Stegostoma tigrinum: one gene and its partners. The protein of the gene in region 1 purifies or fractionates together with the protein of each later gene. This does not show direct contact. Links are inferred from orthologs where the notes say so. Each region holds a gene or a part of one and is shown in the gene's direction. Other genes may lie near its edges. The genes, in order: fus, sf3b3, heterogeneous nuclear ribonucleoprotein Q and ddx42.

Evidence for each region.
Region 2: the proteins of fus (region 1) and sf3b3 purify together in Homo sapiens (affinity purification with mass spectrometry; 3 studies listed by BioGRID and IntAct, with this or other methods). This does not show direct contact. The link is inferred for Stegostoma tigrinum from reciprocal best matches to the Homo sapiens genes FUS and SF3B3.
Region 3: the proteins of fus (region 1) and heterogeneous nuclear ribonucleoprotein Q purify together in Homo sapiens (affinity purification with mass spectrometry; 3 studies listed by BioGRID and IntAct, with this or other methods). This does not show direct contact. The link is inferred for Stegostoma tigrinum from reciprocal best matches to the Homo sapiens genes FUS and SYNCRIP.
Region 4: the proteins of fus (region 1) and ddx42 purify together in Homo sapiens (affinity purification with mass spectrometry; 3 studies listed by BioGRID and IntAct, with this or other methods). This does not show direct contact. The link is inferred for Stegostoma tigrinum from reciprocal best matches to the Homo sapiens genes FUS and DDX42.

Annotation. Positions count from the first base shown.
Region 1 is NC_081403.1:1,175,601-1,182,448, reverse strand, and holds the start of fus (RNA-binding protein FUS), read left to right. Parts: upstream 1-3,841; 5' UTR 3,842-3,856; coding exon 3,857-3,887; intron 3,888-6,573; coding exon of another isoform or gene 6,574-6,576; coding exon 6,577-6,610; intron 6,611-6,703; coding exon 6,704-6,848. UniProt on the Homo sapiens protein: DNA/RNA-binding protein that plays a role in various cellular processes such as transcription regulation, RNA splicing, RNA transport, DNA repair and damage response. Binds to ssRNA containing the consensus sequence 5'-AGGUAA-3'.
Region 2 is NC_081369.1:5,608,542-5,615,419, forward strand, and holds the start of sf3b3 (splicing factor 3B subunit 3), read left to right. Parts: upstream 1-3,857; 5' UTR 3,858-3,966; intron 3,967-6,878. UniProt on the Homo sapiens protein: Component of the 17S U2 SnRNP complex of the spliceosome, a large ribonucleoprotein complex that removes introns from transcribed pre-mRNAs.
Region 3 is NC_081362.1:29,838,104-29,845,037, reverse strand, and holds the start of heterogeneous nuclear ribonucleoprotein Q, read left to right. Parts: upstream 1-3,919; 5' UTR 3,920-4,034; exon of another isoform or gene 4,035-4,202; intron 4,203-4,962; coding exon 4,963-5,125; intron 5,126-6,934. UniProt on the Homo sapiens protein: Heterogenous nuclear ribonucleoprotein (hnRNP) implicated in mRNA processing mechanisms. Component of the CRD-mediated complex that promotes MYC mRNA stability.
Region 4 is NC_081384.1:40,117,834-40,125,022, reverse strand, and holds the start of ddx42 (ATP-dependent RNA helicase DDX42), read left to right. Parts: upstream 1-4,169; 5' UTR 4,170-4,398; intron 4,399-7,189. UniProt on the Homo sapiens protein: ATP-dependent RNA helicase that binds to partially double-stranded RNAs (dsRNAs) in order to unwind RNA secondary structures. Unwinding is promoted in the presence of single-strand binding proteins.

The DNA of each region.
Region 1 (6,848 bases):
AATGCGATCTGGTAAGTGCACTGTCTCTGGGCACAGGGTGATCTGCTTCCTTTTGTTCGTCTGACCCATTGACGCACAGCATCTGCATTGGAATGGGATGTAGACCGTTCGGCCCGCGGAGTCTGTCCTGCCATCCACTGAGGTCATGGCCGATGTGTGGCGTAACTATACTTGCCATTGGCCTGTATCCCTGAACAAAGATTTATCCATCTCCCATTGAGTACTCACAATGAGTCCAGCATCCACTGCACTTTGTGGAATAGCGTTCCCTCTATTCTGTCTGTCACCTCTTTTTATGTCAGAGCGCATCGTAACGGCTCCTCCTCAGGGATCTGGCCCTCGTTCTCAGAATATGTCGCCCCCCAATCATAGAGGCCTTATGGTGGGAACTCAGGCCATTTGGCCCATCGAGGCCACACCAACCCTCCAAAAGCCTCTCAACCATACCCACTCCCATACTCTACCCGTGTAACACTGTATTCTCACCCTAACCCGCACATCCCTGGGCACTACGGGACAATTTCCCATCGGCCAATCCCACCCTAACCCCCACATCCCTGGGCACTATGGGACAATTTCCCATTGGCCAATCCCACCCTAACCCGCACATCCCTGGGCACTACGGGACAATTTCCCATCTGCCAGTCCCACCCTAACCCCCACATCCCTGGGCACTACCAGACAATTTCCCATCGGCCGATTCCACCCTAACCCCCACATCCCTGGGCACTACGGGACAATTTCCCATCAGCCAATCCCACCCTAACCCGCACATCCCTGGGCACTAAGGGACAATTTCCCATCGGCCAACCCACCCTAACCCGCACATCCCTGGGCACTATGGGACAATTTCCCATCGGTCAATCCCACCCTAACCCGCACATCCCTGGGCACTACGGGACAATTTCCCATCAGCCAATCCCACCCTAACCCGCACATCCCTGGGCACTAAGGGACAATTTCCCATCGGCCAACCCACCCTAACCCGCACATCCCTGGGCACTATGGGACAATTTCCCATCGGCCAATCCCACCCTAACCCGCACATCCCTGGGCACTACGGGACAATTTCCCATCAGCCAATCCCACCCTAACCCGCACATCCCTGGGCACTAAGGGACAATTTCCCATCGGCCAATCCCACCCTAACCCGCACATCCCTGGGCACTATGGGACAATTTCCCACAGCCAATCTGCCCTCACCTGCACACTATGGGGTGGGTTGGCAGTGGAGGGTCGAGGGTGGCGGGAACCATACACAGACAGACATTCGCCCAGGAGTGGGATCGAACCCGGGTCCCTGGCCATGGGAGGCGGCAGTGCTAACCACTGAGCCACTGGGCAGCCCATGGCTCTAGAGTCCGCAGCAAACGGAAATAGTTTATCCTCCCAGTTTTCTCCTGTTGCTATCTTGAAGAGTCCCAGCAGATCGCCCCTTGACCTTCTGAACTCAAGCGAAAAAGGGGTTAAATTTGTGTAACACTCCTCAGAATTCAACCCCTGAAGTCTCAGCCTCAACCTGTTTGAAATAGCTACTGCTCCCCCTGTCTCAACCCTGGGACATAAATGATACACAGTGCTCCACATGTGGCGTGGTCTATACTGTTGGAAAAAGACTTCTGCAGCTTTCAGGCTTTTCGCGATCAAGTGCCACAGGTCCCTCTGCACTGTAGCATTCTGCAGTCTTTCCCCTTTGCTTCATTCCCGGGATCACCCTTCCAAAGGTTCCTTTATCCAGGTTGTTCTTGTATAACGTGAACAGTTGTGTTCCCTGCGGAACTCTAGTCGTCAAGGGCTCACGCCCAGGAAGGAGCAAGGACTGCAGAAGCTGGAGCCGATGAAATGTGGAGCGGGAGGGGCACAGGCGGGCCGAGGAGCAGGAAAGTCAACGTTTCGGCTCAGGACTCCAGCTCCACGTTTTATCTGCCCTTTCCACGCACCTCGCATCATGGGGTCCTGTTCTATCGAGAGCCTCCTGCGTGGCACCTTCTGGAAATCCAAACAGATCACGTCCGCTGGCTCTCTGTCGCCTAACATGCCCGTTACCTCCTCTAAAGGATCCTGACTGCTCTGTGCTGACCAAGCCCTGTTTTAGCATGCACTTTGCACGTACTCCTCAATCACCCCCCCCGACAACAGATCTTACGGATGACCAAGGGCAGGCTGGCCGGCCCATTGTTTCCTGTCTTCTGGTTCCCTCCTTCCTTAAACGGGGGACGTGCGTTGGCCACTTTCCTGCGCTCTGGGACCCCGCCTGAACCCCAGCTATCCCTTCAGCGGGAGAGCCGTGTCAGGACGGTGAAGGAGGCCATTCAGCCCATCTCCCTCTTTCTCAAGCTCCCTTCGCCCACTTAGTCCCAACAAAACAATGTGTGTAAGGGCTTGGCAGCTATGCATATGTTGATAGCCCAACCCTCCAGGAATGGGCATCAGGAATGACCTTGGATAGCTCCTTGACCTCCCGCTTTCCAAACCCCAAAAGGGAGGGGGCAGGGACCAGGTCCAGAGGGGGGAAATCAGGCATTTGCGCGCCAAATTCATTCATAAAAATCCAGTCACGGAACGTGACCTTTCGGTGGCCTACGAGCCCCGCCCACTCCGTGCAACCTCGCTGCGCGTTTGGGTGGGTGTGTGTGCGGAGAGTGGGGAAGGGAAAGGCGGGGTGGTATCCATGGTCATGTGCACATTCAGTCTCACGTCTCTGTTCGACTTGAAACCTTAGAGCGGAAAATTTCGTAGCGGGATTCATGGTCTCCGGCGGGATTAACTTCTTAAAATAGGCTATGAAACGGATACCGTTGACAACACACTGTAGTACTCCCCCAAGGTGTCATGGTCGAGTCTTTCCCTTCCCCCCATTCCCATGCTAGGGGAGCGCTCCTGGAAGTGTTCATCTCGTCCTGAGGGGGTCGTCTTCAGCCGGAAGGACATTTATCTAGCCTAAAATCTCAACTGAACCGAGACTCCAGATTCTCAGAGAGGACAGAAAAGTTCTTGTCAACTGTCTGAGTCAGAGGCTGAGCTGTGGAATGTGTCCGTGGTCATTCTCACGGTGATGAATATCTCGACGTCCTCCCTACCCCACGATGGTAGAGCCCGAGCCGCCGGCTGTACCATTCCCTCGCCTGCGACGGGAAGGGAGATGGTGCAGTCCTTTGTCCATGAAGCGTGAGATCACGTGATCATACATGCTCGGCGCTGACTGTACCAACTCTAGCGAGAGGGGGGAACGGCGGTACTGTGAAATACAGAAAGAGCGAATCCGCCACGGAGACGAACAGTCACCTGCGATTGTTCCGGCGGAATAACCTTACAATTAATCAGTGGACGGATGATGAGAACGAAAATGGACGGAAAACACCCATCGCGGTTTGAGGGTGGCGCCCTCTTTCCCCCCTGTCTCTCCCTTGATGTGTCCCAGGCCCAAGGCCACGCCCCCTCCGTCTAGACCCGGCCCCTCTCGGAGCTGAGACGCTCAGTCGGAGCCGGAGCTCCGAGCGAGAGGAGAGAGCAAAAATGGCGTCCAATGGTAAGGCTGGTGGGTAGGAAGCGGTGTGTGGGCTGAAGGGGAAGAGAGGCAAGAGTGAAAGAAATGTCGTTTTCACGGCCCGCTTTCCTCCGGCGGACGGGAGGGCTGTTATGAACGTGAAAAACGCGGAGGGAGCGACGTTTTGAGCCTCCGTTTATTGTTTTAGGTCGGCCGCCATTTTGTTTACCCCTCCCCCTTTTCCTCGCCGGGCGCCATTTTCTGTTCGTTTTGTCTTAAAATCGATCAGAAAGAAGAATAAGTCGTTCCCAGCGGTTGGGGGAAATGGCCAAGTCTGGGCGTATTAAAACCTTCCCTTTCGCGTTCTAAATGTTGGAGGAGGATGGGTTTTACTTTTGGGGTGGGTGGTGGGCTACGATGAGGAAAGTGCGCAACGTTTTTATTTTAATGGGAGAGGGAAGGCCGCCGCCATTTTGTTCCCGCGGTGTCCCTGTCTCTTATTGTTCGCCATCCAGCGACTTTTCGGCGGGAGGATGCCGTCTCCGTTTTTCTCCCCTCCGGATGTGTTGTGTAGAAATAGGCGGGGCCGGTGTGGGAAGAAACGGTGTTTGGCGTGGCCATCTTTTCGCCGATTGCGCCCGCTAATCCGTTCCTTGTGTTTCCACCCCATCCGCACCGTCGGCTGCATCATCCGACGCCGCGGATGCCTCCCCCGCGCTCTCCCGGCGCCCGTGGCGCTGGCCATCGTTTCGGTTGACGCTCCCCCAGGCAGGATGGCGCTGGATTGTGGCCGCCCCTTCCCCTTGCGTCGTGTTAAGCGCCTCGGCTATGGAGGCTACATCCGGGGTCTTCCCATCCCCGCTACTTTCCTTTCCCTCGCTGGCGCGGTGACGTCATCACGCCGCTGCCTTGTGTGGGGAGGGGGCAAAGGGGCGGGGCTTGGAGTCCCACATCCCCAAGTCCTCCTTAACCCTGGAGTCCCTCTCTTCCACGTACAATCCACTCCGCGCCCTCAAAGCCGATGCCTCCGACAGGGAAGACCCTGAGGAACGGCTTTGTGGTTTCACCGTGCTGTCTCTAGTCCCAAAGTGTCCACCCTTCAAATTGGTAGGCAGCTCCCAGTGGCCGTTTGGGGTTCCCAAAATGAATGGGATTACGAGCTCCTCCATCACACCCCCAAATGAGCCCGCTCTGCTGATCCGGTCTGACATGAAGCCATGAGAGATATGTGGCCACGCCAGTCATCGAATCCTGACAGCATGGACGTGTGCCATTTCTACTGTCAAATTCACACTGACCCTCTCAAGAACTTAATGTCTACCCACCTTTTCCCCCATCCTGCCTAATCTGTCACACTGCACTTCCCACAGCCATAATGCATCTAGCCTGCCCATCCCAAGGACACTGGGCAAGTTAGCATGTCCAATCCATCTGATGTCCATACCTTTGGCCTTGAGGTGGGAAATCAAAGCATGCTGTTGAAGCACATTGGGAGAATGTGTGAAATTTGCACAGGCAGGCATCCCATTGTGCTGCCCCTTCAACCGATCAAGTTTATTTTGCCATTCGATCATGGCTGATGTGTCTCCCTTGTGTATCTTTGTTTTTGCAACCCTAGATCACCTTACTGATCTTGAACGTATCTGTCCCTGTTTGAGACACTCGATGACTTGCCCTCCATAACCTTCTGTGGGAATGAGTTCCACAGATTTGCCACCCTTTGGCTGAAGATTTCCTCCCATCTCAGTTCTAGAGTCATTCCTCTACTCAAGCTATGCTGTTGACTCCGTCGATCCTACCAGTGGTAACTGGTCCAGGATTTGGGCTTCTCTTACAGTGTAGGAACAAAGAAGTCTTGTGTCTTCCCGAAACATTGGTTGGCCATAAATGGGATGTAGTGTGCAGTTTAAGAATGGTTGATTGCACTGGAAAGAGTGCGGTGGAGTTTCGCTAGGATATGAAATGTCTAAAATTATGCGGAGAGACTGAATGGGCTGTTTGAATTCTTTGTACACCAAAGCTCTAAACATCTGGAGCAAGACCTCTTATACCTGTTGCCCTCAGTAACAGATGATCTTGACGCTTTTAGAATCTCTGACCGGTACTTTGTCTTAGGTTCAATCTCTGCTGGCCGCCATTAAGGCTAGATTGGTCTTCAGTTTGTGTTGGTCTGCATTCAGTGCTGTGGCAGGGAGAGCCTCTGCTTGAGGTGAGGTAGGATGAGGTGCAGGAAGGTGGGGAGGTTCTAAGTGAGTGGTCAACGTCACTGAGAAGGTTCAGAAGGCCATGATAGTTCAAAAGGGGTGTCAGTGGTTGCACGTTCTGACTGATGTCGGTCAACTTGACCAACAAAGTGGTGCTAGGAATTTGTAGAGTTTGTCGCGGACAGCCTGCAGGCTGGACCTCAGTGGTAGTAATCTCAGGATTGTGCCCCAACCATTGCGATCTGTTGCAAATTGCAGTTTGGATGTAGGACCTAGTGAAGGATTAGGGCTCTCGCCCCTTGAGTCTGCTTCACTACTTGGGTTCATTTGTGATTATTATTAACCCAGAGACCCAGGTCATGTTTTGGTATCTGTCCACAAAGTGTTGATTGATTGTCAAGAGAAATCTGTCTAATGTTCTTTGTGGAACGAATGTGCCCGGCCTGACCTATGTATGACTGTCAACCCATGGTAAATGCGGTTGATTCTGAATTACTCCTGAGGGTGAAGAGAAATGGGCAAATAAATGCTGACCTAGCCATTGATGCCCTTAATAAATCAGATCCCCGTCTACTTCCTGACAATCTATCTTATGCAGGTATCTAGCTGTTTCTGCCTGAACAAAGCATTTGCAATAACAAAATGTAAAGCTGGATGAACACAGCAGGCCAAGCAGGATCTTTAGAGCACAAAAGCTGACATATCAGGCCTAGACCCTTTGTCAGAAATCTCTTGCTTAAAAAAAATTGAAGGATCCTCCTGTAACTTGTTTCATTTTTCTGTGTTACTGAGAAATTAACTTGGTTTAAAAATTGGTGCAATATGGTTTTCTTCAATTATTTTTAAAAAATTGAAGCCACCTTTTTGTTTCTTTCCTAAAAGCAGATCTTGGGAACTATGGACAGTCGGCTCCTCAGAGGTGAGTCTGTTTGTTGAGTGACTGTTTTGCTGCTTGTGTCTCTTCCTAGCATGTCACCCAACTCGCTCTTTTTTTATTCTTTCTCCCTCACAGCTATGGGGCCTACAACGCCCAGTCCAGCCAGGGGGGCTACTCTCAGCCTCCACCTCAAGGCTACAGCCACCAGGGCTACAGTGGTTACGGCCAGTCGGGGGACTCGTCGGCGTATGGCCAGAGTGGGGGCTACAGCTCGTCCTAC
Region 2 (6,878 bases), on another chromosome or scaffold:
ACGGTACTTATGTTTTTTGATCTCCAGGCTCGCACTATTAGTCAGTTTATGGGGTGTGACTGTTGGTGTCTTGATTTGGCGGGTGCATGGAAGGCTGGTGTGCATGATGCATGTGTGGTTGTCCATGATTGCAGCAGCAGAGGGAGAGGTGATGGAGGAATCAAAATGAAATTAGTGGAAGCCCAACAACAACTTTATCTTCGGTGGAGCGGAGAGTTCGGGTGGGAAGGATAGGACGGGAATAGCACCTGAGGGATTTGCATGGCAACAGTAGGTGAGTTGGTTATAAAATACCATGATTATTTTCTATAACCTAGCTTTGTAAATCACTGTGTTAAAAATGAAGATTTACCAAATTTTAATGAAAAGTTTCAGGAAATCAATCAAGTGATATCCCACCATTCAAACTTAGACTCAAGAAAGAAGGGTTACTGGACTCGGAAAATTAACAATGTTATTCTTTCTACAGATGCTGCCAGATCTGCTGTGTTTCTCCAACACTTTCTGTTTTTGCTCAAGAAAGAAGCAATTTGTTGACACAAAACTTGAACACCAAACATTTTAAACTGCTTCAGTGATGGACAGTTTTACAGCAAAATGTCAAGAGTGTTTCTTCCTCAAACGAAACTGATTACACCACAAGCCTTTTCAATGTAGGGAAAACAGTTCCTAATTATTATCCGCTACGACTGTAAAAAAATTTGCAAGGCCAGACCAATGTGGTTTTGCACATTTTTTCCCAATGAAAAGTTAAAGAGTTCTGTTGAAGTATTTGGTGTAAGAAAAACTAATGTACTGTTGTAGTAAAGACCACAAATGTTTTTAACAACTTTGATGGTTTAATATGAAACATTTTAAGTATTGAACCACTGCAGCCTATGTGGTGCAAGTGCTTCCACAGTGCTGTCAGGGAGGGAATTCTAATTTAGAGTGCAATTATAATCAACAGATTCAGGAACATATATATCTTTAAATTAATTCCTCTGCTACTTTAAGGAGACATTAAACCATTTATTGAAAACCAGAATGTATGTCCACTCAAATAGTTATTAGGGAAACTGGTTGTGAGTGTTTTAAAATTATTTTATATAAAGGGAGAACCAATTGATGTGATGCATTTGTATTTTCTGTGAATTTTTTATAAGGTCCCTCTTAAGGGGTTAATGGCCAAAATTAAAGCACATTGGATAGGGGTAATTTATTGATGTGGATTGAGAATTGGCTGACAGATAAGAAACAGAGTGAAAATAAAGGGGTATTTTTCCAAGCGGCAGGCAGTAACTAGTGGTGTACTGCAAGCATTGATGCTTGATCAGCTATCTACAGCATGTTGAATGACTGAGAACATTCCCAAATGCAAATTCCCAAATTTGCTAATGACATAAAACTGGGCTGGATTGTGGTTTGTGAGGAAGAAGATGGAGACTTCACTGTGATTTAGACATATTGAATGAATTGGCAAATACATAGCAGGTGTAGTACAATGTGGCTCATTATGAAGTTTTACACTTGTGAAAAACAGAAAGAAAGAGATTTTGGTGGTGATATATTGGGAAGTGTGTGTACAAAGGGATCTGGGTGTCCTCGTATATCGGTTGATGAATGTAGACAGGCAGCTGCAATAGTGAGTAGAAAGGAAAATGGTACAATGCAAGAGGATTTGAATTCAGAAGCAGGATGTCCAACTGCAGTTATACAGACCATTGGTAAAATCATGCCTGCAGTTTTGTATGTAGATTTGGTCTCCCAGCCTAAAAAGGTTTATACTTGCTATAGGATGAGGTTTACTAGGCTGACATCAGGGATTGCCATATGAAGAGAGAGTGGTTCAACTGGGGTTTTAATTCACCAGAGTTTGGAAGGATACAAGATGACCTGATTAAATTGTATACAATTAAAACTGGGCTGAACGGATTGGATCCTTGGTTAGACAGTCAGAACCAGAGGGCATAAACTAAGGATAAAAATGGTGAGCCTGTGAAATTCTCTACCATAAAAGGCTGTGGAGGTCAAATCACTGAACACATTCAAGAAAGAGTTTTTTTTAATTTATTTTAATGGCATCAAGAGGTTTGGGTGGAAATCAAGATGATGGAATTGTGACAGAGGATCAGCCATGATCACGTTGAACGTTGGAGCAGGCTTGAGGGGCTGAATGCCTTCCTGTCCCCTAGTTTCTAGGTTTCTCCAACTTAAGGCTGAAAAGAAATGTCAGCAAGCTCATTGGTTCTGTAATGAACAAACGCCATACCAAACTTCATCTCCAAAGTCAGTGAAGAAACACAAGATTTTTATTATTTCACTGCAAACTAGATGTTTAGGAGAGAAGTGCTGGGTTGGCTCATTTTCACTGCATTTCTCAATGCTACGCTTCTTTGAAGGCATCCTGATGAATGCCTTCGAGTTCTATGTTGGGCAGCCCTTTTAATAAGACAAGGATAAATCACTTTTGATTCCACTAAGCCTTCACGCACAGTAAAAACTAAGATTTAACTTGACAAATGGACTTTCTCCACTATCCCACGATAACCAGCATGAACCTTCCCCATCCATATGATTCCCTTTCAAAATAAATTTCCTCTTTTCTTTTTCTGCTATCTCAGGCTCATGCAGGGATGCAATTTCAGCAGATAGCTCTTGTTTCCTCTGTTTTAGGAACATAGAAATCAGCCATTGGGTCCATTAAGCCTGTTCTGTTATTCAATGGATCATGGGTGATTTTTTTACCTCTGTGCCATTTTACTGTGTCTTGAACATCCTTAATGACTTTTAAGGTGTAAAGAAAAAGAGATTTTAAAAAGACGAGGCAAATGTTTTACACAGAGAGTGGTTTATCTGTGGAATGAACTTCCAGGGGAGGTAGTGGATTGTGGGTACTATCACAACATTTAAAAGACATTTGAATAAGTACATGTATGAGAATGCTTTGGAGAGAAATAGGCCTGGAGCAGGCAGATGGGACTAGTTTAATTTCGGGTTATGTTTGGCATCAACTGGTTGGACTGAAATATCTGTTTCCGTGCTGTATGACTCTATGACTGAGCTTTCTGAGATTCACCAGCTCGGGTGAAAAAAAGCTTCCTCCATCTCAATTCTAAATTGCTTGCCCCTATGTTCGGAATCTGTGTCCATTGGCTGCAGATGCATCTCCTTTTGCAAACTCTGTAAGAATGTATAATGCTTCAATTAAACCGTCTTTCATTCTTCTAAACTCTAGAGGTTACAGGTCCTTTCCTCTCCATCTTTTCTCACAGGTCAATACCATCATCCCAGGAATCATCCGATGAATATTTGTTGTATTTGCCAGTGACAGGTATATCCTTCCTTCAGTAAGGACAGTCCTGAATCAAAAACTAGAGGCGTGTTTTTAAGAGGAGAGGAGAAGCACTTACAAGGGATCTGAGGGGCAACTTTTTTCCCCCCACACATAAGGTGGTTTGTCAGTGAAAATGAACTGCCACTGAAAGTGGTAGATGCAGGTACCGTTGCAACATTTAAAAACACATTTGGACAGGTACATGAAAAGGAAAGGTTTAGAGGTGTGTGGGCCAAATGCAGGCAAGTGGCACTAGTGTAGTTTGGAAAACCTGGTCGTCTTGGTCAAGTTAGACCAAAGGTATGTTTCTTTGCTGCATGTCCTTATGTTGTAGAGTAGGCAACTTAGCGTTCTAGGGCATTGTCTAAACGAGTGCCTGAAAATATGTTATACATCAATCTGTCTTGTAACTGTATTTGTAAAATTGGTTATTAAATAAATATATATTTCAGAGCCGGAGGTCCGGTGTTGTTTGATTCGATTCTTTTCTCGCGGCATACTGCGCATGCACAACTGGGCACAGGCCCCCGAGTTGGCCACCTATTCAGGCAGCAAGGACCCCAGGCCGGGAGCAGCGGGGTTGGTGACATTGAGGAGGATGGAGCCAGCAATCTGACGGGAAATCGGTGGCATCCTGCGTCCTACAGCAGGTAGCGCCGATTTTTTTGACTCCGGGAGCTCGGGCGGTGCTGATTTTACCAATATTGCCTTTCGATGGTTTCCCGTGGTTGTTTTTTGAGCCACGGTGGGCAGGCTGGCTTTCGGGCCTAAAAGAGGCGCGGGTGCAGGCCGTCCTGCTTCATGAAGGCGGGAAGTCGGTGAGGCCTCTTTAAGGAGGGGCAGATAAACTTGAAGCAGCTCCTGCAGTTTGCCGATGGTGGCAGCAATTTCTTTTTAAAACATCCTCTGGTACATTGGTCGCTGCCATGCGCAACCTAGCTAGTCGTGTTAAATCTGAAAAGAGAGGTATAACTGGATCAAAACCTGCCAACGCACAATTAGGGAGCGAAATATTAGTGGAGCTGCAGCCTCGGTTCACTGCGAACTTCATACAACTTATAGGCTTCACTTGTCCACCTCTTGTGCTTAGCATCCTCATTGCTGAAGAAAATGAGAAACACGTGGATTTGCGAAATGTTAGGAAGTGGCTTCTGCTAACCAGGTGCCCATTGTGAGCCATTATCTGCCAGATGCACATCTTAAATGTGGCCATAAAATGGATCTATTACACTTATTTTTCCCAGTCCAAGCCTTTAAATTAGGGAAGGGTGGTTGTGAGTTCGTATGTTCATCCGGTTTCTGCTGTGTCTTGCTGTTCAGCTGGTTGAAGATAACACGAGAGGGAAAATGGTCCTTGGACTGTGGTTGATCCCTGGGGTACAGAGGAGGTCAACATTTAGGTTGTATTTGCAACAGAGTTCTTTCAGTTCGAATTTGGGGATGTTTGCCAAGGAAAAAGTTCTAGGTTGATGGATCTGCTGTTGGAATTAGGGTACTTGAGATTAGTATTGTGGATGCTGAGCTGGCCCCAAGGCCAGACTCTCCTGTCTACCTTTCTGCAGCCCGACTTCCCACTATTTACTTCTGGGGCCCCCTCCCCCGTCTCGACAAAGATTTTCAGCCCAAAATGTTGACTTTCTTGCTCTTCTGGTGCTATCTGACCTGCTGTGTTGTCCGCCTCCATGTTTATTGACTCAGGCTTCCAGCATCTGCAGTCCTTAACGACTCCTCTGCCGTTCATTGTGCGATACCCAACGATCTATTGATTTTTTTTGTTGGATACACTCAGCAACTTGGCATTCAAGTTCTGGGGCAGAGGATTATAAAGATTCTTAGCCCTCAGTGAAGAAATTTCTCTTCATTCTGAGAATGACTTTGTGTTCCAGATTCTACAGCCAGCAGAAATACAGTCTCCCCATCTCCCCTATCAAGGCACTTCTGAATTCTAGTTCTTAATTAGATCATCTCATTATTTTAACCTTTCAGGGATCCGTGCCTATTACTCAAATAAAGCTGTCACCAAGTAATATATTAGATCTCATCATCAATGTCACTACTTGAAGGTTAGAATAGAACAATAGATCTGTTGAAGATGTGGCAGAATTTATGCATTTTTTGCAGTGAAGTGATATTATTATAATATTAATATAAATTATCAATAACTTTTATTGATACAGATTAGTTGTGGCTGGAATAGATTTGTAGAGAGATAAATGTAAAATCAGTACCAAATACAGAATTCCCCTTGATACTTGTAATGGTGTTAACTGTCATGTTTATAGTGTGAGATCTGTGCTTGCATTGTGTTAACTTTAAATTCTCAAAACTGTTAACTTTGTGTGCATTTAATTAAAATTGTGGTCAGAATCCTTAAAGATGTCTGATTTTTCAAAGAGGATAGAATGTAGCAGCTAACTTTCCTCTTTGCACGTGCAGTGAATTTTTTACATTTAACCAAGATGAGCCAGAGTTTTGAATACCTACTGGCATCCCCTAAGTAGACATAGTACGTTTCTTAGCCAAAGATAGTAATAACTGCAGATGCCAAAGTCAAAGATAACACGTTGTGGAGCTGGAAGAACACAGCAGGTCAGGCAGCCGCCGAGGAGCCGGAAAGTTGACGTTTAAGGTCGTTTCTTCATTTTCTGGAGAAGAGTTCTGACCCAAAACGTGAACTTTCCTGCCCCGCTGATGCTGTCCAGCCTGCTGTCTTCCTCCAACTGCACACACTTATTGCCACATTTCTTAATCAGTGCTTTTTTGAGGCTGGCCTGTTTATGTTGACAGATAATGTTGGAATCTGCAAAGCAGTGAGTTTTACTGAGATGCCTATTGTTGTGCGGCTATAATTGTTTCCTCACGAGTTTGGTTTGTAACTAAAATTTTTTGCTTTTTATTTGAGTATATGTTTGGTTGTGTGTCCTTGTTGCATACTTGCTCTTGCCTTCTGGTGGAGTTGGGTATGTGATCTTTGAAATCTGTTTGGTATTTATGGAGTGTCAATTTATTAACCAGTTACAAAGCTGGCAATTCAAATCAGTTTCCCAACCCAAGCTTTCGAGCTGACATTTACTAATCTTGCCTGAATTTGTTTCATGTTTGTATGTTGCTCTATTGCCTTTCTTCCATTCTGTCACCCAGGTGGCCATTTGTCATGTGAGCTTTTGAGAGCCAGCGTGTTGCGTTATCCTGCTGTGTCTGCAACCTGACTTCTTTTTTCAAGCAGGGATAAATTAAATAAGAAGCAGTAGTGTAGAGACGGGTGTATTTTCCTTTTCGTACTCAAGACCACCATTACGCCTCATTTATCGCTCTGGTTGGAGTCAACCAATTTAGAATACGTGCAGCTCTTTGAACTTAATGCCTCAGAGAGCTACAGCTGGAGTTTCGAATCTCTCTTCACCCTGTATTTTTGTGGCGATGGCTTATTTTAGACCTTTTCTAACCTATCGTTACGTTTTAGGGTGGTGTTTTTGTGGGAGAAAGTTGTTCCCAAACCGGGAATTAAGGTGACGTTTTCTTTTCAAAACTGCATGTGTTCGATTTGTAGATTTGCTGTCTC
Region 3 (6,934 bases), on another chromosome or scaffold:
TATGAAACCCCTCGTCCAGAATAGAAAAAAGGGCTCTATCTGGTAACTGGGCCCAGCTGGCGCCTTCCCCAACTGGTCAGGGGGCCAACTGGGACTGTGCAGGGTGACGACTGCCGGGGTGTTTTTCTTTTCTTTGTTTTTTTTTCTTCTTTGTTTGTTTTTTTTGGTTTTTTTTTCTTCTTTGTTTGTTTTTTTCCTTTAGTTGATGTGTGTACCCCCTGGGTAACCCGGAGCAGCTTGCATGACTGAGTAGGTGTATAAATATGTTTTATTTTTTGTACATCTTATGAATAAAGTACATTTTTTCAAATAAAAAAAGGTGACGAAATGTCTGAAAACTAACCTTCCAGCTCAGCGAGCAAACTCCCATCCATGCAAGTAATGTCGTCAAAGAATTCCACCAAATCAGTTGAACATGACCTACCCTTCGTGAACCCATGCTAGGTATTCCCACTGGGAGAATTTCTATCTAGATGTCTTGCTATTTCTTCCTTAATGATGGATTCAAGCATTTTCCCCACTACCGAAATTAAATTAACTGGCCTATAGTTACTCGTCTTTTGTCTACTTCCTTTTTTAAACAGTGGCGTCACATTGGCTGTTTTCCAATCTGTGGGAACAACCCCAGAGTCCAGTGAATTTTGGAACATAGTTACTAGTGCATTTGCTATTTTCCCCATCACCTCTTTTTGTACCCTAGGATGCATTTCATCAGGGCCAGAAGACTTGTCTACCTTTAGCCCTATTATCTTGCCCAGCACTGCCTATTTAGTGATAATGATAGTTTCTATGTCCTCACCTGCTATAACCTTCTTGCGATCAGTTTTTGGTATGTTATTTGTGTCTTCCACTGTGCAGACCGACACAAAGTAACTGTTTAATGCCTTGGCTATTTCCTCATTCCCAGTTATTAAATTGGCCTTCTCATCCTCTTAAGGACCAATGTTTACCTTGTCACTTTTTTCCAATTTACATATTTATAGAAAACTCTGCTGCCTGATTTTATATTTTTTGAGCTAATTTACTCTCATAATCTATCTTACTTTTCTTTAACTTTTTTCTGGTTTTCTGATAGCCTTTTAAAGATTTCCCAGTCTACCAGTTTCCCACTAATCTTTGCTTTTTTTTGTATGCATTTTTAAAAAATATGATACTTTCCTTTATTTCCTTAGACATCCATGGCTGACTATTTCTTTTCCTACAGTTCTTCCTTATCATTGGAATATACTTCCGCTGAGCACTGTGAAAAATTGTTTTGGAAGTCCTCCACTGTTCCTGAAATGACACACCATAAAGTTTTTGCACCCATTCTACCTTAGCTAACTCCTCCCTCATCCCATCATAGTCTCCTTTGTTTAAGCACAGAACATTGGTACTGGATTTATGCTTCATGCTCCATCTGTATTTTAAATTTGACCATACTATGATCGCTCGTTCTGAGAGGATCCCTAACTTTGAGATCATTAATTGTTCCTGTCTCATTACACAGGACTAGATCTAGGATAGCTTGCTCCTTTGTAGGTTCCATTACGTATTGTTCAAGGGATGCATTCTATGAATCCCTCGTCAAGGCTGCCATGACCGACCTGGTTTGGCTAATCGATATGTAGATTAAAATCCCCCATGATGATTGCTGTACCATTTTTACATGCATTAGCTATTTCTATGTTTATTGCCTGTACCACAATGATGTCATTATTTGGAGGCCTATAGATCACACCTATCAGTGACTTCTTCTCCCTGCTATTCCTAATTTCCAGCTGAATCGATTCAACTTCTTGTTCAGGAGAACCTATATCATCTCTCTCTACCACCGTGATATAATCCTTAAAAATCAGAGAAACACCGCCTCCCTTACCTTCCTGTCTGTCCTTCCGAACAGTTTGATACCCCTGGATATTTAACTCGCAGTCATGACCATCCTGCAACCATGTCTCTGTAATGGCCACTAAATCATACCTATTTGCCATGATTTGTGCCCTCAACTCATCCACTTTGTTTCGAATACCCCAAGCATTCAGATAAAGTGCCCTTATGCCAGCTTTTGCACCTTCTTTCTCAGTCCAATCACCTCCATTACTAACAGCTGTTGAGTTCTCCTTCCCATTACCTTTTTTCCTAATTTTCAATGGAGTTGAAGCTTCCTTGTCACCCGCTAACCTGCTGTTTTGCCTTGCATTAATTGTTATACTCCCTGTACGCTTACTCCTCCCTTCTCCCTCCCCGCTTACTAGTTTATTGACCACCCTATTTACCCTTTTCGCTAGAACACTGGACCCGGCCCTGTTCAGGCGGAATCCATCCCAGCGGTGTAGATCCCTCCTGTTCCAGAACTGATGCCAGTGCCCCACGTGTACACTTCCCTGATCCTCACCTCCCTATGTCAATTTGCACGTGGCTCGAGCAGCAATCCAGAGAGCATGACCCTTGAAGACCTTTTTTTAAAATTTTGTTCCTAGCTTTTCATAATTCCTAAACAGGTCTTTTCACCTCATCCGGCCTATGTTGTTGGTACCGATGTGGACCACAACAACTAGATCCTTCCCCTCCCTCTCTAGTATCCTTTCAAGCTGGTTGGAGATGTCTCACACCCTGATACTATGCAGGCAATACACCATGCAGGATTCTCTATCCTGTTTACTGAGGATACTGTCTTTCCCCCAATGATGGAATCCCCTACAACTATGATCTGTCTCTCAGCTCCCCCCTCTTGAATGGCCTCCTGGACCATGGAGTCTTGGTCAGTTGCCTCATCCACGGGTGCAAGTGCCTCATACCTGTGGGACAATGTCAGAGGTTGTTGTGCCTGTGTTCCTCTCGGCAGGGTCCCTCTACCTTCCTCACTCGCAGTCACACACTGCTGTCCCTGCCTGCCAATTGAATTAACATTAGTTAATCTACTAGGTGTGACTGCCTCCTGGAACAGAGCATCCAAGTATCTCGCCCCCCCCTCCCGGATGTGCCGCAGTGTTTGGAGTTCAGAGTCTAGCTCATCAATTTTGAGCCAGAGGTCAAACAGTCAATACTTGCTGCAGATGTGGTCACTGCTGTTCTCGATGGGATCAGCTAGTTCTTCTCACATCATGCAGCTGCAACACATGATCTGACCTGCCACCTCTACCTAGTTAATTGTTTAAAATTAATTAGTTTTTTTAGTTTTGCAGTATTCTCTGCACCAGTAAGTTTACTGTTATGCACTTAAACAGACTCCGGCTTTGCCTTCCAGACTGCTCCTAGAGGATTTGGCACCCAGGTGACCTCTTGGAAAGGAAACAAAGAGATGAGGGAAAACATGCAAATAGGATGAGGGGGAATCTGATTGAAACTTACAGGATACTGAGATACCTCGATCGAGTGGATGTGGAGAAGATGTTTGTATTAGTTGGAGAGACTGGGACCCAAGGGCAAAGCCTCAGAATGAATGGACAACCTTTTAGACCTGAGATGAGGAAGAATTTATTCTGCCCAGGGTGGTGAATCTGTGAAACTCATTGATGCAGAAGGCTGTTGGGTCCTATCAATGAGTCAATTTAAGATACACATTGGTTCTTGATTAGAATAGGGATCAAGGTTTACAAGGAGAAAGCTGGAGAATGAGTTTAAGAAACATATCAGCATGATCGAATGACGGAGCAAACTCGATGAGCTGAATGATCTAATTCTGCTCCGAAATCATACGATCTTATGGGCCGGATGGTTTCATTCTATAGTCGTACAACCCTATGATTGGTCTTCGCGAGGGTGCCTCACAAAATCTCTGCATTGATATCTGATCTAAAAGATTAAATAGGAATGGCACTGGCTTTATCCTTTACGAAGAAAAGATTCAACGGTTTGCAGCTCGATATGAGCCGGGGCTTTTCCACTCCGTGATCATGCATTCCTTGGAGCCCTGTCATTCATCTTTGGGGGCGTGGTCACCAGCTGTTTGTACCCAATGGAAAAGATGAGGGAGCGGGACCTGACGTTGGGGCCGCGCCCACCATTGATGATGTCCTTGCGGGGCAGGTCGGGAGACCCCACCATGAGAACGCGTGAGTGGAACTTGGGGGCTTTGGGAGGTGTGTGCCGTGCCGCCATTTTGTAGGTCGGTGTGTGAGAGAACGGAAAGGGGAAGGTAGAGTAATTCAACTGACAGGGAGGGATTTGGGGAGTATCAGCCGGCATCACATCTACTTGACTTTGCTGGCATAGAGCAGCATGTGAGTTGGTGTTGTCCCTGGTTGTAACTCGGGGTGGGAGGGGGCTGGTACCGTGCCCGAAAATCGAGCAGTGTCAGCGAATCCATGGGCCGCAGGCAGACCCGGAGCCTCACTCTGGGTAGGCGTGGGCCGGGGCCTGGACACTGAGACCTCTGCTGTACTGAATGAGCAGAGTGTGTACTCCGTAAATCGAAGGGGTGGAGTTTTTAGCTCCGGGATTCGAGGCCGGACTGTAGCCTTTGTCTATGTCACATGGCTGCGGGATGGCAGGGGAAAGCTGGAACGAGACAGGACCGCGTTGACTTCCTTTATTTTCCCCCGTCTCTCCGATCTGACCTTCCCCCTCCGTGGCCCTGACTACTTTGGAGTGGTGTCGGTGAATCCCTTTCCCAGTTACTGGACGGAGTGTTAGTTGGCCGGCACTTCCCGCTGTTGCCGCATCCCAGACATATGTTCGTGAACCGGTATTCGCTATCGTGCTCCATTCGAGGAGGCGAAAAGGCTTGTTTTATCATTTGTCATTTATCTTTGAACTGGAGTCTATTACTAATGCAAGCTCGCTGGCTGGGCTGGGAACGATGACTAAAGCTGAGATCACTGCAAACGGATCTGGCAATATGATTCCTAGCCAGCTTGGTCATGTCTAGTCCTTTTCCGCTCTAAATGTTTTAATAATTTTAGGACTGTCAATTTAGGGCTATCAATTTCTAAGACATTACCGCGCCTATTTTTGCTTTCATTTATGTGTACACGTGTACAGATGTCTACTGAAGAAATGGCTACCGAGCATATGAATGGAAATGGTACGGAAGAGCCGATGGATACTTCCACTGCCGTTGTTCGATCTGAACACTATCAAACTTTATTAAGTGCTGGTTTACCAAAGAAAGTTGCGGACAAGCTAGATGAGATGTATTTAGCAGGTATGGTTGCAAACTGCATGAGTACTCTGTACTAAAACTTATCTTGCTATCAATTTGTTACCTGTTTCAGTTTGATACGTTCTTGTGTCCATTTTGTGTTGATTATGCAATTTCAATTCCATTAAAAATATGGGGATACGTCAAGGAAAGAACACTGCTGGCATTCTCGTGGAATACAGGGGGTGGCTTGGACTGACTCATCCTGCAAGTGATCTTCATCTATTTATAGACAAAGGAAATATGTATGCAAGAATAAGGTGACAAGATCAGTAAAACAACTATCTTTTTGTTGCGTTAATCTCAGAGCCAGCGTTCACGTAGAGAACAAAATGGATAGTTTTCTTGAAAGGTTGAAATTCACCATATTGTCATGCAGGCACTGGCATTGCCCAGTGTTACATTTAAGCCTGCAGAGACGGATCATGATTTGCTTCCTTTGAGTTGTTTGGTTTCTGCTAGAGCCTGCTGAGTCATAAGTTAACTTCAACCTCTTAAATCACAGCAGAAAAGAACTGTGTCTTGTTCTTATTGCCGTTCTGACTGTTTTATTATTTAGTCTGAAGATGTTTAGAGAATGTGAACCATGCTAATCTTGATGTCCCACTATGCTTCATAGACAATAAAATACTTCTGTACTGTAGTCATTATTGAAGTATAGGCAGATTTAAACCCACCAGTCTTTTTTCCATTTAACAAGAAACTTGTTAAAACAAATCATGCAGTAATATTAGAGAAGGGTCTAGGCCCGAAACGTCAACCTTGCTGCTCCTGTGCTGCTTGGCCTGCTGTGCATCCAGCTCAACATCTTATCATTGCAATAATGTTAATTGAGATTACAGTTGGCTAGGAGAGTGTCTGCTGTTCAACAGGTTCATGGGATCATCAACACCCACTGAGGGGTTATTTCTGATAGATTAGTTGCCTGACATACGGCCTAGATTTTGTTGCTCAATTCTTATCTCCATATTTTTAGCAGCATCTAGTGGTAAGAGCTCTAAGTTGTTTTTCATCTAGTTAACTCCATGAATAAAATTTAAATACAAAAGGTTCCTTTCCCTTCATCTTTGAATATCATAGACCTGTTATTTTGCTTCTTCCAGGAAAGTTTGTTGAAGAAATATTGCCTTTGAGCCTTCAGCTATAGGTTATTCTGAAATTGGTGGGAAATGTCCTTCACTACTCTGCTTGAAAAACTGCCTAACCTAATGCTGGATATTGGAATCCCCTGAAGTTTCTTAAAATTACTTATGTCTGTCCTGTCTCTTCTGTTATTGGTGAAACTTATTACTGCTGATTTGCCAACTCCACTCTAATCGCCTGAAGGCCTCCATGTTAATTGATGAGTTCTATCCCTCAATAGTACTCCCTCTTACTTAAAATTTTCCATCACCCTAACCTTTTTTAAAAAAATTGACTTGACTGCCCTTGCAAACTTCCAGCTCAACTCCAACCTGCCTTTCTTATCAAAACCCTCCAGATTCATTGCCACCTCCCATATCTGTTCTTGAATTCCCAAACCTTTTGCTTGAATCCTTCCACTCAGGCTTCTGTTCATGCAGTAGTGCCAAAAGGCTCTTACTAAAGTCACAAATTGGTTTCTGAGTGGCTGTGATGATGGTAAACTTTCCTCCTTCATCCTCATTGCCCTGGTCTACATCTTTATTTGGTTGTACAATTGCTATACCACCTCCACTGTCATTCTGCTAAGTGGGACTGTTCTCATGCCAAATCACTTGCACTATCTTCTTGTCCCAGCACCATAACCTCTGGTGTCTCCCCAGGATCTATCTTTATATCCCTTACTTCTCA
Region 4 (7,189 bases), on another chromosome or scaffold:
TGAATGCTGAGTCACTTGGAAACTGGACTGGCATCTGAAGAAAAGAAACATTCAGGGAAAGAGGATAGAGTGGAGGAAAAAAGATCTAACTGAATTGTTGTACAGGAAGCCAACATGGATTCATTGGACTGAACAGTTTCCTTTTATGCTACAATGAACCTGAAAAATTAAAGAGATCTTCACCTCCATAAAGAGGATGTTTTGCTGTTTGAAGGTTGATCACCTTAGCCACAGCAAATCATTAATCATTAACATAACTTCACACAATTGTTGAGCCACATTTCAAAAGTTGAAACACTAATCAAGAAAACTAAGATGCAAGTGATGTGATGCTGCTCCAGTTTCTGAAAGCTAGTGATCAACACCAACTGTATGGCAACTTCATCAGCAGTAAGTGTCCAGAGCTTGAGAAACATCACCTCAGAGTTGATGAGCTAGAGTCCAAATTTAAAACACTGCTATACATAGGGTCATGGTGGTGGTGGTGCGAGATACTGAATCCGTACAATGTGGTAGCCGCATTTGGCCCATTGAATCCACAAATCATCCCGCTCCACCCCTGTAACCAAGCATTTCCCATGGTCACTCCACTTAGCCTGCATATCCCTGGACACAATAGGCAATTTAGCATGGCCAACCCAACTAATCTGCACATCTGTGGACAGTGGCAGGAAACTGCAGCACCTGGAACACATGGGGAGAACGTGCAAACTCCAAGCAGAGATTGGAATCAAACCTAGGTCCCTGGCACTGAAGCAGCATTGTTAACCACTGGGCCATTGTGCTGCCCTATATTTTGAAGAAAAAATGCACACAAAGTGCAGGCTGGGGGGGGGGGGGGGGGGGGGGGGAGAAGAGAAAAAGAAGTTTGAGGGGTCTAATTCAGTATTGTATTCAGAGAGACAGTCACATCCCTGGGGCTAAGTAATTCACATTTTTTTCATAAGATGACGTGCAGCAGTGAGAGATCAGATAGCAATGAATGAGCTACAACCCTGACACATATCCACCCAAGTTCAAGCTTCTTGATACTGTGCTTAAAGAATTATAGGATCCCTACAGTGTGGAAGCAGGCCATTTGGCCCATCGAGTCCACACTGACCTCCTGAAAAACATCCAAACCAGACCCACCCTATCCCTATCCCGTGCGAGGAAGCCAGAGCAAAGGCATGCAGACATGGGGAGAACATACAAACACAGACAGTTCCAAGGGTGGAATCGAACAAAGGTCCTTGGTGCAGCGAGCTAATAATGCTGACCAGTGTTGCTGTGCCACCCCAATAGCCAGGGCTAAATGGAGGATAAGCAAAAGTGACCACTGATACAGGAGCCATTGAATTTGAGAATAAAATGCAATGTTGTGGCCGGGCGTAGAAGACAGTACAGTTGGAGTCTCTTATTTTCTGCATCCCAGAACACAAGTCCCCTGACAGCCTACTCAGTGTCAGAGTTAATGACACCATCTTGGGGTTACAGAATGAGGAACATGGTATGGGAGGAGAGGAAGATGCAATTACTGTACCCCACCAGAGTATCAATATGAAGGAGCAAGAGTAGGTTATTCAATCCATTGTTTTGTAACCACAGTTCTACATTTCTTCCTTTTTTTTGTTCATTCACAAGAGGAGGGCATTGCTGGCTGGGCAGCATTTATTGCCCATACCTAACAGCCCAGAGGTCAGCTGAGTCAACCACATTGCTGTGGGTTGCGTCACACGTAAGCTAAGGATGGCAGGTCCTTCCCTAAAAGGACATTCGTGATTCAGATGGGTTTTTTCCTGACAATTGATGATGGATTCACAGTCATCATTAGATTCTTGTTTCTAGGTATTTATTGAGCTCAAATTCCACCATCTGCCCTGGCAGGATTCGGACCCTGGTCCTCAGAACATTATCTGGGTTTCTGGATTAACAGAGATAATACCACTAGGTCATCGATTCACTCCAATCTTCTACCCGTTATCAAGAATCTATCGACGTCTGCTTTAAAAAATACAAGAGATTCTGCTACCACATTTTCAAAAGAGTTCTAAAGAACCTGAAACCTCAGATTATTTTAAACGGGTGACGTCTGAGCTTTAAACAGTAACCCCTAGTTCTTAACTCTAATAAAAGAATGCACACCAGCTCTATACTTACTGAGTCAAGACCTCTCAAAGTCTTATGTTTTAAATCAAGATCACCCCCCCACCCCGCTCTTCAGAACTCCACCATAAATAAACCTAGACTGTCCAACTTTTGCTTAAATGACAATCCACTCAATTCAGCTATTTGTCTGGTAAGTCTCCAAACTGACTAGAAAGCATTTACATGCTTCTGTAAATGAAGTGACGAACACAGTACACAGAATGCTAGATATGCATTCACAATTTTTGTAGTTAAATCCTCTTGCATTAAACAGTAACATTCTATAAGTTACCCTAATTAACTGCTGTACCCGCATTCTAAACTTTTTCAATTAGTGTACTAGCAGACACCCAGATCTTTTTGCATCTCTGGCCTCTGCAGTGTCTCACCGTTTAGATGAGTTGTCTTTTTGTTTTAAAATCCTTCCTGTTAAGATAGACATTTTTCTCATTTTCCCCATATTATACTTCACCTGGCCATTCACGTAATCTACCTGCATCATTTTGCAGTCTCCTTGTTATGTCACTTTCTCACATATACGTGCATAACAGCAAATTTGGCAACAGTCCATCCCTTCATCCTAGTCACTTCTATTAATTGTACAGTTGAGGTCCAAGCACCAGCCCATTAGTCGTTCCATACTGCCAAACTGAAAGAGACCCTACGTTCTGCTTCCAGTTATCCAGTCAAAGTTCTGACCATGACAATAAGCTAGCAATTACACCATGAGCTTTCATTTTCCACAATAACCTTTCACAATTTCCATCTGGAAATCAAGTTCAGTTTTTTACGTGTTCCCCTCCATCCACAGCACATTACTTCCTCAAACATGACCTCCCTTTTGCAAAACCATCCTGACTCTGCCCGATTAACTTGATTTAATGTAAATGCTACATAGCAACTTTTTCCAATGACCATTTTTTGAAATACTTCCCCTCAGACAGAATTTACAGGGAGCACTGTTTTATTAGATACTATCAATTCATTCAGGTTTTTATAGTGCAATTCAATCTAACTAATCAAGGGTAAACCAACTTTTCAAAACACAGTAAGAAGTCCATGCCAGGCTCATCAAACACATAGGTGTTCATTAATACCTAGCAACAATTCATTGATTATTTAACACATTTGCTCTTTTTAGGGCGTCCACATACACGATAGCTTGCACAGCTCACTACACTTCAAGAAAGGAAAAGAATGGCATAAAGACATTTTTGAATCTCATAAAACATGAAAACAGGCTCCTAGCCCTCCTCTGGCACGGCGCTCCCACAGCGCTGATTTGAGTTGAGCTGAGCAGTGTAAAGAGTTTTTGTCGTTTTCTGACAGTCAGCCCTGGCCGCAGGTTAATGCTGCAGAGTCAGACTGTTTGGTCAATATAGCCCGCATATAAAAACCAAAAGAACTGTGGATTCTGTACATCAGGAACAAAAACAAAGTTGCTGAAAAAGCTCAGCGAGTCTGGCAGCATCAGTGAAGAAGAAGAGTTAACGTTTCGGGTCCGGTGACCTTTCCTCAGAACCGCATACATGTGGCTCTATCTCTGCAACCCCACGGGCCAAGCCGAGTCAACTCAATCTTGTCCCTGTACTCACCTCAATTCGTGAGCCCGCCGCTGCCGTCTCCCGTTTCTTCACGGCTACCCGCCACCTGCGGAAATCCCGCCTTCTATCACTATTTCGATTGGCACCGAACCCATGATTGACATGTCCGGTACCACAGGTCCCTATCTCTGATTGGATTAGTGCTCTGTCAATCGCCACCCTTCGGCAAATAAGGTCAGAGTTCACCGGCCACGGCTTGGTCCTAGACATCGCCAGACCACGGACCTGAACTCTTTTCGTATTTTGAAATTTTCTGTCAGTCAGAAATTATTTTTCCTTCATCTTTATTTTCTCCCGGCCTCTTTTGCGGTTTCCAGCGTCATTTCCGAAAACAAAAGTAACCGGAAAACCGCGTTACCCCTTGACCTAGTGACGTCAGGCAGTTTGATTAAAAGAAGTTTCGTAAGTGGCACTGTGCGATCTCCAAATACAGAATTTATAAGTTTCCCTCCACTGCCCGGCAATTTCTGAGAGAAATGAATGGAAAATAATCAGTTTTTTAAAAAAGTGAAATGTGTGAGGTGGGGGAAAGAAGAGGCGAGGGGTGCGCATGCGTGGGGAGCTGCGGCTCGGTGGTGGCGACGACGTTCGAGGATTTTCTCCATTTCCTTGGGCCGGGTGGCGCCTGCAGCCGAGGGCAGACAAAGGGTCGGGCTGTTGTCACAAGGTGTGTAACTGCCAAGTGCTCGTCCTCCCTAGTGTAGGCTCCTGGGGCCTCGATTTGGACCCTCCGCTCGATCTGGGCCTTCTCCCCGTCCCGGGTGGTGTTTACAACACTGCGAACACGAGCAATTAAATCTAAGCAGTATACCTGCACCGTTTACCTGTCCTGCTTAAATACCGAGCACCGGCAGGTACCTAGAGCTGGCCAAGCGAGTTAATATTACAATCGTGACAGGCCTAACGAGGGGGAATCCGCGGAAGAATTTGGATCGGAGACTCCTTCGAACGCATTTCTCAGATAGAAAGTAGGAGCAAGTGAAAGCCATTTAGTTCTTCGAGTATGATCCGCCATTCAATATGATCGTGGCTGATCATCAACTCAGTAGCCCCTTCTCGCTTTCTCCTCATACCCTCGAATCCGTTTAGCCCTAAGAACTATGTCGAACTCCTTGAAGAGATGGTGTTTTTCTGTTAATTATTTTCTATGGCAGAATTCCATAAGTTCACCACTCGGGTGGGAAAAGGCATTTCTGTTCAGTCTTATGGCTGGCCTCTAGTTCTGGACTTCCCCCGTCAACAAGAACACCCTGCATTTGTTCCATCTAATCCTCTTAAACTTTTATAGACTTCCATAAGATCTCTTCACATTCTCAATCTCTAGTTTATACGGTTCTATCTGCATCCCACGAATCAATCTGGTAAACATTTCCTGTGCTCGTTCCTAAGACATAGCATCTTTCCTTAAATAATCAAATGAAAACTCTACACAATACCTCAATTATGGCCTTAAAATGCACCAGGACAGCCCTGCTTTTGTAGTCATATTGCCTTGCTATGAAGGCCAACCTTTGCTTTCTTCACTGCCAACTGCACCAGCATGCATACTTACAGCAATTAGTGTGCAACGTCTCCAAGTTTCAGTGCACTTCTCCCCTTCCCCAATTTATCACCATTCTGATAATCATCCTTGTTTTTGCTACCAAAGTGGATAACCTCACGTTTATTCATATTCCAATTTATCTGCCATACATTGCCCCACTCTCTCAAACTGTCCAAATCAAACCATAGCATCTCTCTTCCTCCCAGCAATTCCCTCAGTTTTGTATAATCTACAAACTTCCCTAATCTAAACCATTAATATATATTATGAACAGCTGGGATGCAGGCACTGATCCCTGTTGAACCCTATTGGTCAATAGTTTTCCCTCATAAAATGACCTGTTCATTCCTATTTTGTTTCCTGTCTGCCAATCAGTTCAATATCTATGTCAGTGCACTAATCCCAATCCCATGTTGTTTCCTTTTATATTGGACCTTACCAAACACTGGCTCTCCTCAACAATTCTACTAGTAAGGTCCTTGAAAAATTCCAGTAGGTTTGTCAAGCACGATTTCCCATTAGTAAATCCATGCTGACGTTGCCCAATCATGCCACTTTTTTTTCCCAAGTACTGCACTATTAAATATATAATAAAGACACAAGCATTTTCCCTGCTCCCAATGTCAGGCAAACTGGTCTATAATTCCCTCTTTTCCCTGAAAGGCTTTGATCTGAAATGTTAATGATTCTTCTCAGGTGTTGTCTGTTTGCTAGTTACCTTGTTAACAGACTGGCAGAGGTGTAATTTTGACTTCCAAATATTTTACTAACCATATTAAAAATTTTTGTGTGGTGGCCAAGGGACTGTCTCAAAGTTGAAATCTATTTGAGCTGTTTCTGCATTGTGAATTATAGGCCTGGTTGAGAGTGCTGTTTTATTTAAGCTTTCCCAGGTACAGCTGTACTACTAAAGCAGATTATTTAAGAGTCCAGATATTATGATAGCAAGTAGGGAGGGTCTTGGGTGAGTCTATCTTTCTCGATGACAACTGCTGTTGAACAATATTGACCGGAGTAAAGAGTGTCCTGAGAATTGTCCCTTTTGTCAGTATTACTGTTGAATGTGTTCATTGAAAATGCCCACAATCCTGCAATTGGTCAGCACAGTGGCTGAATGGTGAGCACTGCTGCCTCACAGCACCACGGACCCAGAGATAATGGGAACTGCAGATGCTGGAGAATTCCAAGATGATAAAATGTGAGGCTGGATGAACACAGCAGGCCAAGCAGCATCTCAGGAGCACAAAAGCTGACGTTTCGGGCCTAGACCCTTCATCAGAGAGCGGGATGGGGAGAGGGAACTGGAATAAATAGGAAGAGAGGGGGAGGCGGACTGAAGATGGAGAGAAAAGAAGATAGGTGGAGAGAGTATAGGTGGGGAGGTAGGGAGGGGATAGGTCAGTCCAGGGAAGACGGACAGGTCAAGGAGGTGGGATGAGGTTAGTAGGTAGATGGGGGTGCGGCTTGGGGTGGGAGGAAGGGATGGGTGAGAGGAAGAACAGGTTAGGGAGGCAGAGACAGGTTGGACTGGTTTTGGGATGCAGTGGGTGGGGGGGGGAAGAGCTGGGCTGGTTGTGTGGGTGAGAGGAAGAACAGGTTAGGGAGGCAGAGACAGGTTGGACTGGTTTTGGGATGCAGTGGGTGGGGGGGGGGAAGAGCTGGGCTGGTTGTGTGGTGCAGTGGGGGGAGGGGACGAACTGGGCTGGTTTAGGGATGCTGTAGGGGAAGGGGAGATTTTGAAACTGGTGAAGTCCACATTGATACCATTAGGCTGCAGGGTTCCCAGGCGGAATATGAGTTGCTGTTCATGCAACTTTCGGGTGGCATCATTGTGGCACTGCAGGAGGCCCATGATGGACATGTCATCTAGAGAATGGGAGGGGGAGTGGAAATGGTTTGCGACTGGGAGGTGCAG